4 linked regions of the Arabidopsis thaliana genome follow. The protein of the gene in region 2 purifies or fractionates together with the protein of the main gene of each other region. This does not show direct contact. Each region holds a gene or a part of one and is shown on either strand. Other genes may lie near its edges.

Region 1 (4,449 bases), on a different chromosome or scaffold from region 2:
GTCATGGTTGGGATGAACCAGAAGGATGCATATGTTGGTGATGAAGCACAATCCAAGAGAGGTATTCTTACCTTGAAGTATCCTATTGAGCATGGTGTTGTTAGCAACTGGGATGATATGGAAAAGATCTGGCATCACACTTTCTACAATGAGCTTCGTATTGCTCCTGAAGAGCACCCTGTTCTTCTTACCGAGGCTCCTCTTAACCCAAAGGCCAACAGAGAGAAGATGACTCAAATCATGTTTGAGACCTTTAACTCTCCCGCTATGTATGTCGCCATCCAAGCTGTTCTCTCCTTGTACGCCAGTGGTCGTACAACCGGTTAGTACATTTTAGGCTTTTTGTTTATACTCATTGATCATTATTTGAACTGAGCTCTGATTATCTTCCATTGAACAGGTATTGTGCTGGATTCTGGTGATGGTGTGTCTCACACTGTGCCAATCTACGAGGGTTTCTCTCTTCCTCATGCCATCCTCCGTCTTGACCTTGCTGGACGTGACCTTACTGATTACCTCATGAAGATCCTTACAGAGAGAGGTTACATGTTCACCACAACAGCAGAGCGGGAAATTGTAAGAGACATCAAGGAGAAGCTCTCCTTTGTTGCTGTTGACTACGAGCAGGAGATGGAAACCTCAAAGACCAGCTCTTCCATCGAGAAGAACTATGAATTACCCGATGGGCAAGTCATCACGATTGGTGCTGAGAGATTCAGATGCCCAGAAGTCTTGTTCCAGCCCTCGTTTGTGGGAATGGAAGCTGCTGGAATCCACGAGACAACCTATAACTCAATCATGAAGTGTGATGTGGATATCAGGAAGGATCTGTACGGTAACATTGTGCTCAGTGGTGGAACCACTATGTTCTCAGGTATCGCTGACCGTATGAGCAAAGAAATCACAGCACTTGCACCAAGCAGCATGAAGATTAAGGTCGTTGCACCACCTGAAAGGAAGTACAGTGTCTGGATCGGTGGTTCCATTCTTGCTTCCCTCAGCACATTCCAGCAGGTAAAAATTGATCAGATTTTGTTTCGAATTCTCTTACATGCAAATTGAAATCAAAGGCTGATTATTTATGTATATGTTGGTTACAGATGTGGATCTCCAAGGCCGAGTATGATGAGGCAGGTCCAGGAATCGTTCACAGAAAATGTTTCTAAGCTCTCAAGATCAAAGGCTTAAAAAGCTGGGGTTTTATGAATGGGATCAAAGTTTCTTTTTTTCTTTTATATTTGCTTCTCCATTTGTTTGTTTCATTTCCCTTTTTGTTTTCGTTTCTATGATGCACTTGTGTGTGACAAACTCTCTGGGTTTTTACTTACGTCTGCGTTTCAAAAAAAAAAACCGCTTTCGTTTTGCGTTTTAGTCCCATTGTTTTGTAGCTCTGAGTGATCGAATTGATGCCTCTTTATTCCTTTTGTTCCCTATAATTTCTTTCAAAACTCAGAAGAAAAACCTTGAAACTCTTTGCAATGTTAATATAAGTATTGTATAAGATTTTTATTGATTTGGTTATTAGTCTTACTTTTGCTACCTCCATCTTCACTTGGAACTGATATTCTGAATAGTTAAAGCGTTACATGTCTTCCATTCACAAATGAACTTAAACTAGCACAAAGTCAGATATTTTAAGATCGCACCATTTTATATAACCCCAATCGTCAATTCTACTGTTTCAAGTTTTACACCAAAACAATTACGAGGTGTATCTATTCGTTACTCTTTTCGCTTATTAATCCTTTTACATGATGCAAAATATAACAAATTAATTTCAAATTGTCCTGCACATTTGGTTTATACATCTTGATTCCAAAAAGTCAACTCGTTGAAGAATTAATCAATACTCGAAACGAGTCTTCCTTGGGCCCTAAAATATTGTCCTATCTAGTTGATGCTTATATAGCATATATGGGCTAATAAATTGGGCCTTAGCTTTGGAAAAGGACGTAGAACTTGAAACAATTTTTATTTTTCTTTTTCCGGCGAAACAATTATCTAATTACCAATTTAACCCCAATCCTTTCTCAGTTTCTCTCTTCCGCGTCTCTCCTTCTCGTTATCCTGCAAATTAGGGTTTAAGTAAGAAAAAAAAGCTAGAGAAGTATCTCGATCTCTTCTTCTGTTAGATTCTGCTTTCCTTTGAGATTTGCTAGTGTAATCGTAACCTCCGAAGACCCAAGATGGCTCGTAATGAAGAGAAAGCACAGTCGATGCTCAACAGATTCATCACCCAGAAAGAATCTGAGAAGAAGAAGCCAAAAGAGCGTCGACCTTACCTCGCATCAGAATGTAGAGATCTAGCTGAAGCAGACAAATGGAGACAGCAAATTTTGAGAGAGATCGGTAGCAAAGTAGCTGAGATTCAGAACGAAGGATTAGGAGAGCACAGACTTCGAGATCTAAACGATGAGATTAACAAGCTTCTCAGGGAGAGATATCATTGGGAGCGGCGAATCGTTGAGCTAGGTGGTCACAATTACTCGAAACATTCGGCGAAGATGACGGATCTAGAAGGTAACATAATCGATGTACCTAACCCTAGTGGTCGTGGTCCTGGTTATCGTTACTTCGGAGCTGCTAAGAAACTTCCTGGTGTTAGAGAGCTTTTTGAGAAGCCTCCTGAGCTGAGGAAGCGTAAAACTAGGTATGATATATATAAAAGGATTGATGCTAGCTATTATGGGTATAGAGATGATGAAGATGGTATTTTGGAGAAGTTGGAGAGGAAATCTGAAGGAGGGATGAGGAAAAGATCGGTGGAGGAGTGGCGGAGATTAGATGAGGTTAGGAAGGAAGCTAGGAAAGGTGCTAGTGAGGTTGTGAGTGTTGGAGCTGCAGCTGCTGCGGCGAGGGAAGTGTTGTTTGAGGAGGAGGAGGATGTTGTTGAGGAGGAGAGGATGGAGAGGGAGAAAGAGGAGGAGAAAGAGAGGGAATTTGTGGTTCATGTTCCGTTGCCTGATGAGAAGGAGATTGAGAAGATGGTGTTGGAGAAGAAGAAGATGGATCTGCTTAGTAAGTATGCTAGTGAAGATTTGGTTGAGCAGCAGACTGAGGCTAAATCCATGCTCAATATTCATAGATAGAAAGGTGATCATCTCTTCTTGTAAGGCTTTTTAATCATATCATAGTATAATTTTATTGTCTGTAGTTTCTTTTGCAGTTTTTGATCAGAAAATTGACTGAACTGCTGTGTGTTTTAAGAAATTTCGATTAGAGGAATTCTAAAAATTTGTTGATGTTTCTTATATTATTACATCCTAGATTATGATCTTAGAGAATTTGCTAGATCTTGATTTATATTTCCTTAGTAGTCCTGGTCTGTTTGAGAGTATGATAAGGCTTCTGTCGAGTAATGTCATAAAGCGCGATCAATCTATAACAACAACGTACATTCTTGCTTCATTAATCAAGAGTTTCACTGACCTGAGTAATTGACCTAGTACCCTTGTATGTGGAGCTTAGATTTGCAGAAACTGTTATTTCAATGGGACATACTTTAGTTAGTGCCTTAGTGGCATGCATTAGGATGCGAAGGAATTCGTATTATATCTTCTCTTGAATTGAATCTGAGAGGCTGATACATCATCTCTATGCTTCTCAGATGCTCTGTTTTACCAACAAACTCAGCCGCGATGGTCTCTTGCCTAAAGAAGAAACGATGTTGGGCGTTTGAAATATGATTTCATGGAAACAAATGTGAAAGACTCAAGGAGAAGATACAATGTCACTTGGAACTGAACTAGTGTATTCTATTATGTAGCTCGACTTTTGTATCTTTATACTTCTGAATGTAATGCTCATTGCCTGAGGTTTATACATTGTTCCTTTGGCTCTAACTAGATTGGTGCTATGCAGAGACATAAGTTGAGACCAACCACAAGCATTTTTCTGGTTTTGATTTTACTCCCAGTAAAATATTTATTGAGTACGGACAAAACATCAAAAATCAGAACAAGACCGTTGAGATGGATAATACTTGTCTAGAGATACGAACCACACCCACATGTTCCTACACACAATCCCCAAACCATCTCTCTAACCAATAACACTTTTTCTCTCTTCTCAGTCCTTCAATGGCGGACTACGACGACGAAATTGACCAGAATAACCAACCTTTCATCCCCAAAGAAACTGCTCTACAAGCACTAAACTCAATAATCCAGCTCCACTTCGAGAAAACCTTAGAGAAGAAACGAGCCATTGACCACCAGAAGAAGAAGCTCCACAAGCTATTTCAGCTCTTCTTCATCTTCCTCGCCGTAATCTTCTTCTCCCTCTCTCAACCCTCAGGTCGTCTTCACTGCCGCCATTGCTGGGCACCCATCTGCCTCCTATCCTTCTCTCACCTCTTCTTCTACGTCTCCGTCGCTCAAACTCTCCGTTGCATCAACGGCTTCAAGTACCAGCGTCGCTGCCATAAGCTCACTCTCGGTCTCGCCACTC
Region 2 (4,758 bases):
TAAAACATGTTGTTGAAAATATATCAAGACTTTTTTCAATATAATATATACTAATTTGCGATTTCCTCATGTTATATAGGTTGACTATATACTTGGGTCGAACCCCCAGAAAATGAGCTACATGGTTGGAGTTGGGACCAATTATCCCAAAAAACCACACCATAGAGCAGCCTCCATAGTATCGATCAGAAAGGACAAAACACCAGTGACGTGTAGTGGAGGGTATGATAAATGGTATAACAATCCTGCACCAAACCCTAACGTTTTAATGGGAGCACTTGTCGGAGGACCCAACGAGAACGATGTTTATGGAGATGAGAGGAGTAATTTCCAGCAAGCTGAGCCTGCGACGGTTACTGTTGCTCCGTTTGTTGGTGTCTTGGCCGCCGTTTTTTAATTTTGTCTCTCCTCGTTTTGCAAATTTGAGTATGTTTGCTTTATATCTTATATAAGTCATAGGTTTAAGGTCTAAATGTAACTTGGCTTTAAATAAAATAAAATAAAATCCAGATATTTCACAAATAAATAATCTTCAACGGTAAACTATCTACATGATTGGATCCAAATTGACGAAAAAAAAAATATTGTATTCTTAAAAAGTTTGAAAACGTGGTTCCATTAAATCTTCTTCTCTACAAAAGTGTTCCCTTCTTGACAATCACACTCAAGTCTAACATTTTTACAGCGGAAAAGAGTTTGTACATTATCAGAAATTCATACTACTGAGAGGCTATAAGTACATTCTTTACCCTTTTTCCATCACTCAATCAATCCCCAACGTCGAAAATGGCTCAATGGCTCCCTGAGAATATCAAAAAACTTTATTAGACACAGAAGTTCTCTTCAAGCGAAAATTGCAAGTAGTGTTTATGTTTTACTCACCGAGCAATCATCATGAACACGCCATATGGTCTCCCCAAGAAGGTTTGCTACTGAGAGAACTGTAAGCTGAGGAAAATAGTTCTTCTCTGACAATGGAATCGTGTTGGTTATGATCACCTCTTGAAACAGTCCGCTCGATAGTCGACTGATTGCAGGAGGGCTGTTTCCGAATATAGACACAAATGCATATGTCAGCTTCTTTCTCTTTTTTTATAATTCCAACACAGAGAAAATATTTCATGGACTTACCTAAAAACGGCATGAGTGGTACAAGCGTATACTTCTCTTGCTCCTTCTTGGTGTAACAGAGCCGCACCTTTGCTTATGGTTCCTGATATGATATACCTAACGTAAGTATCTAAGCACAATGGGGAATGTTTACAGATATGCAGACCGTGACTTATTACTCACCTGCTGTGTCAATCATGTCATCCACCATTATGGCTACTTTCCCTTTAACATCCCCAATTAAGTTCATCACCTACATGAAACGGGTTGTTAAATGTCAAAATCCAGACTTGGTTAAAATGTATTTTCCAAAGGTTTTTCTACCTCTGCAACATTGTGCCCATGACGTCTTTTATCAACTATTGCTAAAGGTGCATCAGATAACTTCTTCGCAAAAGCGCGAGCTCTTGCGACGCCACCAACATCAGGTGAAACTACCACCAAATCTTCAGAGGATATGGCCTTACTTGCTAGGTAATCAAGTATGACAGGCTGTTCATGAATATTAAAGCACAAGGAAAAGAAGACATAAGAAAGTCTATTTTCACAAAAAGGAACTTGATGCTCAGAGGAGTCATTTAAGAAAAACTTTTTTCTACCTGGCCATAAACATGATCGACTGGAATATCAAAGTAGCCCATAGACTGTCCGGAGTGAAGATCACAAGCAAGGACACGGTCTGCACCAGACTGTGTAATCAAATTGGCCACAAGCTTGGCTGCAATAGATTCACGTCCTTGAGTCTGCAAGAATATGTACAACGAAAGAGTCAAATGAAAAACTCTCAACTAGAAACTAAGTGAAGCCAGAGGAATGAGACAATCGATAAACCCAAATCAGCTTCATACAGATAACTAAGCTGCCAATTTGATTACTTGATTACTTCCAAATACTAACTACCATAGATCTGACTTAAACTGACAATCGATTACTCTTGGAGACAAATCATTGTGCATGTTTTCACAGGACGATTGAATCCAAGACAGATTCTATAGTTATAGAAAAAGACTTGCCTTTCTATCAGCTCGTGCATAACCAAAGTAAGGAATCACAGCCGTGATAGTTTTGGCTGATGCTCTCCGACAAGCATCAATCATAACGAGCAATTCCATAAGGTTTTCATTTGCAGGTGGGCATGTAGGCTGTACAAGGAACACATCACATCCCCTTACACTCTCTTGTAGCTGAACATAGATCTCACCATCAGCAAAGCGTTTAATCTTGATTTTCCCAAGGTCCAGACCCAAATAGCAAGAAATCTCCTGTATCATCAGCGTAAAACACCAATGAACAAACAAGACGATTCCAGAATATACTCTAAACCAATTTCTTCCTAATCCTAATCTTTGCAATTGAACAAATCTCCAGTTTTAAGCTACTAATTCCGAAGTCTATATCAGTTTCTTCCTAAACTAATTTCAGTTCCAAGCTACTAATTCTTGCAATTAAATCCAAAGAACTCCAACGACTAACAAAGCTAAGAACGAACCTGAGCCAAAATAGGATTAGCAGTGCCGGAAAAGATACGAAGTCGTGTGGTGTTCTGATAAATCGAATCTTCCAAACGTGTCCTCGAAAAGCTAGCCGGAACGGTGTCGCCAGTAAGCAGATGGAAACCGGCAGAGTTTCCGCCGTCGAACTTGTACGGATCCGCCGCGTTACACTTCTTTTCAATTCCACAACCAACAGAAACAATCGAGAACAAGATTCATCAGATTCGAGCGAAGAAGACCGTATAAAGTACAAATACCAATAGAAAGATAATAGTCGGAGAGAGTGAGAGAAGTAGATGAGACTTACAAGAGGAAATCGAACGGAAGAAGGCGGACGAATCAGAGAAGAACGCCGGAGATTTAGCGCCGGGAAAGTAGGCGATGGTTGAACAATAGACGCCATGTTCGAGAAATGGATCCGGAGAGAGAGATTTTAGGGTTTTGAGAAAAAGCAGTCTTTTCTTCTTCTTCCCCGCGAGATACGAATTTGACTACAAGAAAATGACTCTCTCTTCTTCTTCTTCCTTTATATACTCAAAAACTCATTTCTAAGTTTTTAACTAACCGTAACGATTTCCGTTAAAAATATAACTGTAATTCAGATTCTTTAAATCTCATTCATTGATACAACATAGTCTCTGGAGATATTATATCTTTGGAAGGATGAGAAATGCGAGATAAAGTCGCACCATGTTACAACGTTTGTTATATAGCTCAAACGCAATAAAAACTCCGATGAAATTCGGTTTATTTTCGGAAGGTCTCAAAAACCATTTACAGTTTAGAAAGCCAGAGCTCGAGTTGTTAGTTTTCTTTAGGATGTAACTCCATATGGAAGCAATGCCGCAGCAACGACTCTTCCTTCTTCATTCAGAATGTTGTACGTTGATGCAGCATTTCTCTGAATTAAAAGTAATCAATATAATAAGCGAATAAGAAGTTATGAAGTAAGCTTGGGACTAGAAAAGAAGCCTGTAGAAATGGATTAAGAAACTTACAGAATCAACTGTTTCTAGTTTCATGCCAAGGGACTTGACAAACTGACGGACCTCGGGAGTTACCGGGTGAATGTCTCTTCCACAACCAACAATCAAGAGCTCTGGACAATTCGATGATTTAGTTTAGAATATCTAATAAGAGCTGAGATTGAAGCTAATATGCAGCAAAAGTTAATCAACCAGAGGTACTAATACAGTTTTATTTTCATACTGATGACTCATGGGTACACAAATATTATTACCTGGAATAGGTCGAACTGTCTGGAAGATAGACAAGCTGCATCCATGGAAATAGAAATATACAAACGTTTAGCCATTGCTCTCAATGACAAAAAAAAAAAAGAACACTTGTCGAAAATAAACCAAATGTTTTATCAAACACTTCAAATTGATAAAGCTGTCAAATCCTCTCATGACAATGAACATTGAAAACCTTCAACCAATCTATTGCCAAAAGCACACAACTTTCACTCAAACACAGTCATAAAAATCAGCTCAAATCGATATAAGGTTGTGACAGAACATTGGTGAGAATCAAAGGCCTGAGAAGAGAGAAGATACCTATCAGTGGTGATCTCTGAAAATTTACGAGGACTCCATGACATTAACAGATTCCCAACACAGAGTAAGCTACCTTCGTATTTGACTCCATTCACAGTGAAACTCGTATCATTAAATCTGCAAAGTAAGTGAAGAGAATCAATCAACCACCACATATTTATACATTTCCAATTCCAAAAACCCTAATCATTCATTAAATCAAACCCAGAAACACAGTCGGTAAAAAACAAAATCAACGACGAAAAACAATAGAGAAAGCTTGGAATTGATTACTCTTGGAAGCGAAGCTGGTCTTCAGGAACATTGTCAATGAGATTGATCTGATCATAGAGGGAAAAAGCTCGTCTCAGAGAGGGCAAAACAGGATTAGAATGCTTCGGAACTTCTTTTCTCATACTTTGAATCAATTTCGGCAAAGTCGCCATTGATTTCAACCTCATCGCCATCTTCGTGGCAGCTCAAAGTCCTCAATCGTGATTTTCCGATTTCCGCAGCCGTCGAGACTCGAGACCTTTAACCAACCCGGTTTAATCGTTTAACTCTACACCATCATCGGTTATCGGATTTCATTTCCAAAACCAAATTCGTTACTACGT
Region 3 (4,818 bases), 1.4 Mb from region 2:
CGTTAGCTTCAACAATCTTGGAATCTCCGGTAGTCGTGAAAGAAGTAATGTAGAGTATTATTATACCTGGATTTTTACTTTCTCTGTTGGTTTCTTCAGCTGCAGCAGAATCATAATTGTTACCGGAATCAATACCAGGCTGAATCAGAGCAGTTCGTCTTCGGATAGAAACGTCGTACTCTTCATCATCTCCATCGGAATACATGGTTTCATCTTTCTCAATTCTATTTCCGCAGAAACCTTGCTGGGTTCTGAAATGGCGATCGCCGACGGTTTCGAGCTCCCGGATCTTAGTACCTGAATCTCCCACACGGAAACGCAAAGATTCATCTTCAACGTGGAATACGAACCGAGGATCGATACTGTCGTTAACGGACATTTGCTTTTCCGCCGGAAAATTCAGAAGGCGATCGATAGAGACTGGAAGAGCACAGAGAGAGAGTTTAAAACGACGTCGTCGTAAGTGGGACATGAGTAGCACGCGCGTCGTGATGGTTAATGATTATGAAACCGTATCATTTACCTATAAGCTTTTGGTGGGTCCGATTTACATGGACTCATAAAGTGATATCGCCACGTAGACATAACATATAGGTTTTTATATTTATCTGAATTACCTTAAAAACAACTAATATCAAGAACCGGGTTACATTCAGAATTTCTCGACCACAATTCGTTTACGGTTTAGAGAACATACAGTACAATGCCATTACAGATTCTCCATTTTGTTCTACATTAAAGAGGGATCAGGTAAACTCAAAAAAACCAAAACTATAGTGAGTAGGATCACAGTGTAGTAACCGGTTTAGCTGGGCAAATGAACCAAGTTTCGGTTTGATAAAGATGTCCTCATTTCACAGTTCAGTCCCTGAGGGGTTTCATTCCCAGTGATGCTCTCAGTCTATTCATCTCTGCAATTTCAGGATTTGGATGATCGGTTCCATCTTCCTTCATCTTCTCCTTCTTTTCTTTCTTTTTCTTAGGTTCTTCCCGATCCCGCACATCATCAGTTTCATGTCTCTTACGATCCCTACTCCTGCTTCTACTTCTGCGCCTTGCCCTGTCTCTTCTGTCTCGTTCTCTATCTCTGCCTCTTTCCCTGTCCCTATCTCGCTCTCTATAGTGATCCCTGTCTCTCTCCCTATCCCGGTCTCGACCATGCCCACGTTCTCTTTCATAGTCTCTGTCATGATCTCGATCCATATCATAGTCTCTGTCATAATCACGATCCCTGCCAATCACAGAACCATGGTCAAATTATAATTCATGAAACAATGAGCTCAAGTCTCAACATCAATCATAATGAAAATCTGTAACAAAAAGAAAACATTGATTGAGCTAAAAACTAGATGGGAAGTGCTCTCATGATTAACTGATCTTTTTCAAAGTAACACAATGACAACTACCATATACTGTATCAGGGTAAGGATTGTAATAATGTCTGATCCATAATACTTCTCTCTGAACACTGTCAGTACAGAGAAACCTGGAAGGATCTCTACAAATTTAATTTCGGAAGCTGTATCCAACCGCTGATGGCTTGAGATGCCATAGTGGAAACAGACACTCAAAAGACAGAGTACTAGACATGATGCAAGAGCATTAGCTAGATCAAACAGCTTCCACAATCACAAAGAATTTTTTTTTGAAAAATGTTAACTAGCATAGAAATGTATCTAGTAAAGGTCACGGATTCAGATACCTGTGTCTATGACTGTCGCGTCTCCTGTCTCTGTCTCTTTCTCTTTCTCTTTCAGGACTCTTACGGCGCTGATCCTGTAAAAGAGGAGGAAGATGGTATCATCTTAGAGCTGCTAGATAGAAACAGAAAACAGATCACATAAAAACTATTGCAGAATGAAAGCACTGACCATCTCATCTTCAGATCCATCAGCAATCCCTTCATTCTCCTCCTTTTCTTCCTCTTCTTCAAAGTCGTCTTCCAAAACACTTTTCCTTGGCTCTAATAAACCATTCTGTTCAAGCGTCCACCTATCATCAGAGTGAAAAATTAACCATCTTAAAATACTGCAGAAACCAAAAACTAATTATTCAGCTTCAGACAAATGCAAAAGAAGAAACCTTTTCTTCAAACGTGGCATTGCAATATCACAAGAATAATCCTTGGTTAGAAGTTCCTCAATGACTTCGTCCACATGTGTCAGCGAAAACTCTATTCCAAACCAAAGAAATAAATCTAGTTAGTGAACAAATCAATCAAAAGTTAAACACAACGGATCCATCGAAAGAAAATGAAACTTACTCCCATCAGATAACTTTTGTCTCACTTTCCGGTAGTCATTGTAGAGAGGTTCGAGGTAGCGATAGACATCAACATCAGTCCCAGTGAGACGCAGATAGAACGCACCAAGAATACGAACATATCTGCAGAAACCAAAAGAGTAAATATTTCAGTAATTCAAGAACAAATATCTGCAGAAACTAAGAGAGTAGATTATCTAAGACCAATAGATTTGAGAGACATTCCATACCTGTATACTTGAGAAACAACTACGACAAGGCTAATAGCAGTATCCAATCTAGATTACGCAGAAATAAGCTTTTGGTTAGAAATCTTACTTGTAGTCATCATTTTTTATGAACTCCACGACAATTTCCTTCTCAGGCTGGATTTGAAGCATCTTCAATATGAGGCAAAGGAACGGAGTAGGCTTGCGGCTACCACCAAAGGTACCACCTAGATGGTCGAGCTCCATAGCTTTGTCCACCAATGTCTCCGCCGTGAGACCAAAGCACTGCTCCTTCCAAAAGGTGTGCTGATAAATCTTCGTTCGCACAATCTTCTCTACCAGATTCTGCGGATTCGTTCCTCTTATATTCTTTGCCAACGGATCTGTTCTGTTTGCCATTATCGCCTGAAGTTAATCAGAAACTGCCTCAAAGGCCTAGTCGTCGGAATAATAAACGTCGAGCGACGCCGCTTCAGTGAAGCCGGAATCGATGAAACAGCTTCCACGAATTTGCCGTCGTCGAAGACGAAGACACTCTAGGTCTTTGAAGAATCTGAGAAGTTAATTCATTTATTTTATTTTATTAATGATTGCTTTCGGTGGTAAAGCCCATAGTAAGAACATATTAATGGGCTGCTAATATATCTAGGCCCATTATAGATGGAGATAACGCCGTTAGTTGGAAGTCCGTTAGGACCGTTAGTTACATCAAGCAAAAACCCTATCGAAGAAATTGCAGTGTGTTTTCTTACAGCGAAGAGCCCCAAAGAGAAGAACAAAATTTCGAAAATAGAGAAAGAGAAGAAGTTGACGATGGATTCAAAGGCGAAGCAGATGATTCTTTCAGCTCTCTGCAAACACTTCTCTTTGGATCCTGTAAGTATTGAAGAAGATGACATCTCAAAAGCTTCTGCTTTTTTGTGAGGTTTTGCTTGGTAGCTGAGTATGTGTATGATCATTTTTTGAATTAGTTAGTGGAGAAAACTCGAACATTATCTGATTGGGTACTGAAATCAATTAGAAAGTTTATGTTTTGGACTTATCAGTGTTTACGCTTATGCATCAAGCTGGTCATGAAAAAGGAAAAAACTTTAGAAATTGGCTTTTATGATTTTACATTGTGATGATTTATTGGTTCTGTTTCTGAAATTGATTTGATTCATTTGTTTAGGAACCTTTTGTGGGCGGAGCGGGTGAAAGTGATATCAAGACACTTTATTCTAATGTATTGAAGGCATCTGGAAAGGAAGTATCTGCACAAAACAACGATGTAAGTCGTTTCTTCTTGAATTTGGTTCCTATAGACATAAACGCCAAACTCTTACTGGGAATTTATTGAGTTCCCTTCTCGTTGCTACCACGTTAGAAAAAAAATGAATTAGTATGTTTGAGTTCTGTGTAATGCTAAATGATGAGGATTCGTTGGCTTTCGTTTGCATAATGCGTCATTGTTTCACATTTTAAAGAGTAAAAACCTATTTCAGGTTTTGAAGTGGCTAGATTTTGCGGAAGGTTTCTCTTCAGATTCAAAGGATTGGTTTTCAGCTCTTGAAAAGTTGAATTTAGAGTTAGCTACCAAGTCAGTGCTCTTGGGAAACGGATTGACGCCATCGGCAGCTGATGTTGCTGTGTTTTCAGCTCTGCATTCTTCAGTGGTACCACTTCTCTATATTCCGTAGTCTACTTATTTTTCGTTCCTGTATAAGTAATTTTATGTTACTTGATAAAGATGCTACGATCAAATTTTCATAAACTGATGACTAAAGGTATTAAATACTAACTGTTATCTGTTTGACTTGCTGTTCCCAGCTTGGCCTCTCAGATTCAGACAAGGAGAAAGTACCACATGTCATAAGATGGGTGAATTACATCCAGGTAAGTTCGACATCATAAAGTTTTGTTACTTGATTGCGCCGAGGTAGCCTGTAAATCCATGGAGGACTACTTTATGTGTACGCGTAACGGCGTTAGTGACTATAGCTAGATATGCACTCTCTGAACATCACCTTTCACATTTTTCTTTCCTTGTGATTGTCTGCTTTACGAATATATGCTGCGTATTATTTTACAGAATAAAGAAGAGTTGTCGACATTATTTGCACCAATACCTGTGAAGCTACCAGAATTTAGCTTCGAGGTGAATTATCTTTTCATACCCATTTTCTTAGACTGAGAAACAATAATAACATGCTACTTTTTTCAGATGTATTACATGCGATGAGAAAATGGTTTTCTGATCTTTTTCATTTATTCTAAACGTAGGTACCAAAACCTGCCATTAAGGTGGAAACAAATTCTAATTCAAAAAAAGCTGCAGAAGGTGTAAAGCCTGTTGACAAGCCAGATG
Region 4 (3,475 bases), on a different chromosome or scaffold from region 2:
AAAAATTTTATTCTTTGGAACATATTTGAATAATGTGATTATTTTCAGCTAATTATCGTCTTCTCTTTGTCATAAACACAAAACAATGTATTTATCAATTATGTCTAAGGAAACATAAATTGATGAACAAGCAGAGTTTCACTTTCTGTCTACAAATTTGAAATTACACTTCCACAAAATCATATTATCGATAACAAACTTTTAAAATCACATTGAAAATCTCAAATCACAATGAATGATTCTTCAATGTAACGTTGTGTTAGTTCCACGTTCGATAAAACAAACCAAAATATAAATACTAGAATTCAACTCAAAATGTATGTGTATTCTACCTTTTGTTTTTGCAAAACTCAACTTCTTAAAACTCATACTAGTTAGAAGACAAATCACAGTGAGAATCAGAGAAAAATAATAATTTTAAAGCCTCATGAATGTGTATGAATTTTAACAATCACAAACTAAGTAAAGAGTATCAGCTTCCTAATTAGATAGCAGTATCAGCTTTTTACTTCCTAGGCAAGCGATATCCACCAAAAACACAAGCATGCTTTTCCTCACAAGAGTCAAGATGCAATATCTCTGTTGGTCTCAACTCTTCCATTTGTAACTTCTCCACTTCCATCTGATACACAGTTTCTGCTGCAATTGTTGAGTCTATAGAATTCGCCTGAAACAAGTAACTTAGAGTTAACCAAACAATGCACACTAAAAAGAGAATGATTTTGATTTGAATCAATGGTCAAAAAAGTTTTGTTACAAACCTTTATAGAGATCATAAAGTGCCCTCCAGATTTGAGGAAATAAGAAGCATTGAGACTTAATATGTTAGCTTGCTCAGGGTGATTAACATCAGAGAATATGATATCAACCATTCCCACAAGCATTCTATATTTAGCAGGATGTCTAGCATCTTCAATGATTGGTATAACATTAGTTCTCTTCTCCGCCATGTTCATCAAAACTTTACCACAAATATCAGAATGCTCAACAGCGTAAACACATCCCTCCTACCAATCAGAAAAGCTAGATATAAGTAACATAGAGAGAAAACACTCACTCAATCTTAAAAGTTAGGGTTTAAGGTTTAGTGTTCACTTACTGGACCAACAATGTCAGAGACATGAGACACGGTGTATCCAGAAGAAGCACCAAGGTACAGAACTTTAACACCAGGTTTCTACAATTTCAAGAAACAAGTATTCATTAGTTTCGGTAACAGAAGAATAAAAGAGATTGTTACTTTAAGTTATGGGACTTACGATCCAAATGTTATCAACACCAGTGGTAATAGCATCAGCTAACTTAGATCTATGAGGGTTCCAAACTCTGTATTCAACAGTAGATCGGTCTTCGTTCTGAACAAAGATTCTCTTCTCATTGTAAATGATTTCACCAGGAACTAAGTTCTTGGTTACAAGAGCATCTGCTTTACTTTTGGCAACAAACACTCCTGCGTGCCTGTGTGGTGTCACTAACACTTTGCTTCCTCCCTTAATTCCACCGTCCGATTCACTTTTAACTCTTCCAGGCCCTCTTCCACGGCCACTTTCGCCGCCTCTTCCACTGCCTCTTACGGCACTTCCTTCACCGCCTCTGGCTAAACCTCTTCCACCTCTAACACCACCACCACGTCCTGAGCATAATCATACAGATAAAACCGAAATTAACTAATCAGAAGAGAGTATTATTAAATCTCCTATTAAACTTGGATTGAAGAAGTGAAGACTCAAAACAGTTTACGTAACAAGCAATTCAGGTAGATATATTGTGACAAAACGAATTTGGAGTTAACAACCCTCAACCCTATACTATAGGTCGAACAGAGAAATTAAACAAGTAGTAAAACAAAACGGCTGCTAGGGTTCTAACCTCTTTGGGGAGGTTTCATCTTTGCTATAGAGCGAGAGCGAAAGCAACAAAGAGAAGGTTGATGTTAATCGATGTTTGCAGCTTTCGTGTTTGGTTTTTTTATTTTTTAGTTTTTATCGAGCCCCTGCTAGGGTTTAAGAATGTTTATCTATTGGAATTTGGAGTTGGTATAGGAAAGCTGGAAAGGTTCCATTTATTTTTCCGATAAATATGGAAAAGTTTTTATTTATTACATTTAACAAATTCTGTTAAACAGTTTACTTCTTGTAGGAAGATTTCAGATCCTATCGAACTCTTTTTATCGAATCACCACCATCAGATTTCTTGTTATGCAAGGAATACATGATTTTGAAATACAAAAGGTCAGAATATTAGGAGCTTAAGGCCCAATAATTAATTCAGGTAATGGGCTTATTAGACATGAATTGTTTTCGTAAACTTAGTGCCATAAGGACTAGATTGTAAAATTTTGCATCTTATTGTTATAACTTTATATTGCAGATCAAGTAATCAGAGATGCCTTCTGACTTTAAAGTCCAAAACAATCATTAGTTTAAACAAAACAAGAAGAGGAAAAAAAATCACACGAAGTTGGACAAAAAACTCATAAAATTGATTTTTTTTTCATTAGTTAATAAACAATTAAGGCCTTGAATGATTGTAAATTCTAAAATGGTGTCTAGTTTGCATAAATAGATTTTTTTTTTTTGCTTTTCATTAATTAATAAAAAATTAAAAATTTAGATTTCTTAGCTTTTCAGGAAACTTTTTTATGCAAACTAGAAACCATTTTAGAATCTACTACCATTCAAGGCCTAAAACTAAAACCAAAAACTACTTAGAATCTACAAATAATCAAAGAAGGCCTAAAACTAAATGACTTTCTGATATATATATTTCACAGATTTGACATTTTGATCCTCATCAGAAATGGATCCGCTGTCTTCACTGATGAAAAACGAAGAGCCAAAAAACTGGGCGGATCTTCCGACGGATTTGATGTGTTTGATTCTGCTACGTCTTAGCGTGACTGAGATACTGGAGAACGCTCAGAAAGTGTGTAGATCGTGACGATATGTTTGTAAAGACCCATCCATATGGCGTAAAATCGACATGCGAATCTTGAGTTACAACAAACCAGTACTGGTGAACAATCCTGAGGCGATATGTCGTAACGCCGTTGATCGTAGCGAGGGTGGCTTGCTGGAGATCAACATTGGGGACTTCGGGAGTGATTCTCTCCTTACATACATCGCGGAGAGGTTCTCCTCTAATTCTAGTTTTGACTTTTGATTACTTTTCATGTAAGTCTTCAAGTGTCTGTTAAAAACAGATATCTCAAGATTATGATTTATAACTTTTTACACACCATTACTTGTAGGTCAAGTAATCTTAGAAGCCTTAGACTAATGTGCTCAGAAATAACAGACGATGGATTTGTTCAAGCAGTTGTGAAACTTCCAATGCTTGAAGAGCTTGAGGTTTCAGGAATATCATTGTCAGGAGAGTCTATGAAACTTGCAGGGCTGTCTTGTCCAAATCTGAAGACATTGATGCTAAACCGCCTCTTTTACTTAAGTTCGGATGATGATGATCATGATGCCAT

What was found.
Region 1: the proteins of AT2G44530 (region 2) and AT3G18790 fractionate together in Arabidopsis thaliana (co-fractionation; one large-scale study listed by BioGRID). This does not show direct contact.
Region 3: the proteins of AT2G44530 (region 2) and AT2G40650 fractionate together in Arabidopsis thaliana (co-fractionation; one large-scale study listed by BioGRID). This does not show direct contact.
Region 4: the proteins of AT2G44530 (region 2) and AT5G52490 fractionate together in Arabidopsis thaliana (co-fractionation; one large-scale study listed by BioGRID). This does not show direct contact.

What each region holds. Positions count from the first base shown.
Region 1 is NC_003074.8:6,475,667-6,480,115, forward strand, and holds AT3G18790 (pre-mRNA-splicing factor ISY1-like protein), read left to right. Parts: upstream 1-1,994; 5' UTR 1,995-2,186; coding exon 2,187-3,089; 3' UTR 3,090-3,093; intron 3,094-3,607; 3' UTR 3,608-3,916; downstream 3,917-4,449. Other genes in the region: ACT2 (actin 2), read left to right, coding at 1-322, 401-1,014, 1,101-1,166; AT3G18800 (uncharacterized protein), read left to right, coding at 4,080-4,449.
Region 2 is NC_003071.7:18,381,980-18,386,737, reverse strand, and holds AT2G44530 (Phosphoribosyltransferase family protein), read right to left. Parts: upstream 3,224-4,758; 5' UTR 3,007-3,223; coding exon 2,911-3,006; intron 2,777-2,910; coding exon 2,600-2,776; intron 2,373-2,599; coding exon 2,124-2,372; intron 1,854-2,123; coding exon 1,710-1,853; intron 1,603-1,709; coding exon 1,435-1,602; intron 1,364-1,434; coding exon 1,294-1,363; intron 1,214-1,293; coding exon 1,132-1,213; intron 1,043-1,131; coding exon 883-1,042; intron 803-882; coding exon 764-802; 3' UTR 530-763; downstream 1-529. Other genes in the region: GH9B9 (glycosyl hydrolase 9B9), read left to right, coding at 80-397; AT2G44525 (NADH dehydrogenase ubiquinone 1 alpha subcomplex assembly factor-like protein (DUF498/DUF598)), read right to left, coding at 3,418-3,504, 3,602-3,702, 3,844-3,878, 4,163-4,279, 4,436-4,608.
Region 3 is NC_003071.7:16,962,727-16,967,544, forward strand, and holds AT2G40650 (PRP38 family protein), read right to left. Parts: upstream 3,073-4,818; 5' UTR 2,871-3,072; coding exon 2,581-2,870; intron 2,386-2,580; coding exon 2,264-2,385; intron 2,174-2,263; coding exon 2,083-2,173; intron 1,993-2,082; coding exon 1,872-1,992; intron 1,777-1,871; coding exon 1,703-1,776; intron 1,232-1,702; coding exon 862-1,231; 3' UTR 560-861; downstream 1-559. Other genes in the region: AT2G40640 (RING/U-box superfamily protein), read right to left, coding at 67-472; AT2G40660 (Nucleic acid-binding, OB-fold-like protein), read left to right, coding at 3,285-3,347, 3,643-3,741, 3,956-4,126, 4,281-4,346, 4,543-4,608, 4,734-4,818. UniProt on the Arabidopsis thaliana protein: Probably required for the first pre-mRNA cleavage reaction catalyzed by the spliceosome.
Region 4 is NC_003076.8:21,297,270-21,300,744, reverse strand, and holds AT5G52490 (Fibrillarin family protein), read right to left. Parts: upstream 1,889-3,475; coding exon 1,870-1,888; intron 1,634-1,869; coding exon 1,260-1,633; intron 1,178-1,259; coding exon 1,100-1,177; intron 1,008-1,099; coding exon 762-1,007; intron 668-761; coding exon 506-667; downstream 1-505. Other genes in the region: AT5G52480 (RNI-like superfamily protein), read left to right, coding at 2,983-3,131, 3,251-3,475. UniProt on the Arabidopsis thaliana protein: S-adenosyl-L-methionine-dependent methyltransferase that has the ability to methylate both RNAs and proteins. Involved in pre-rRNA processing.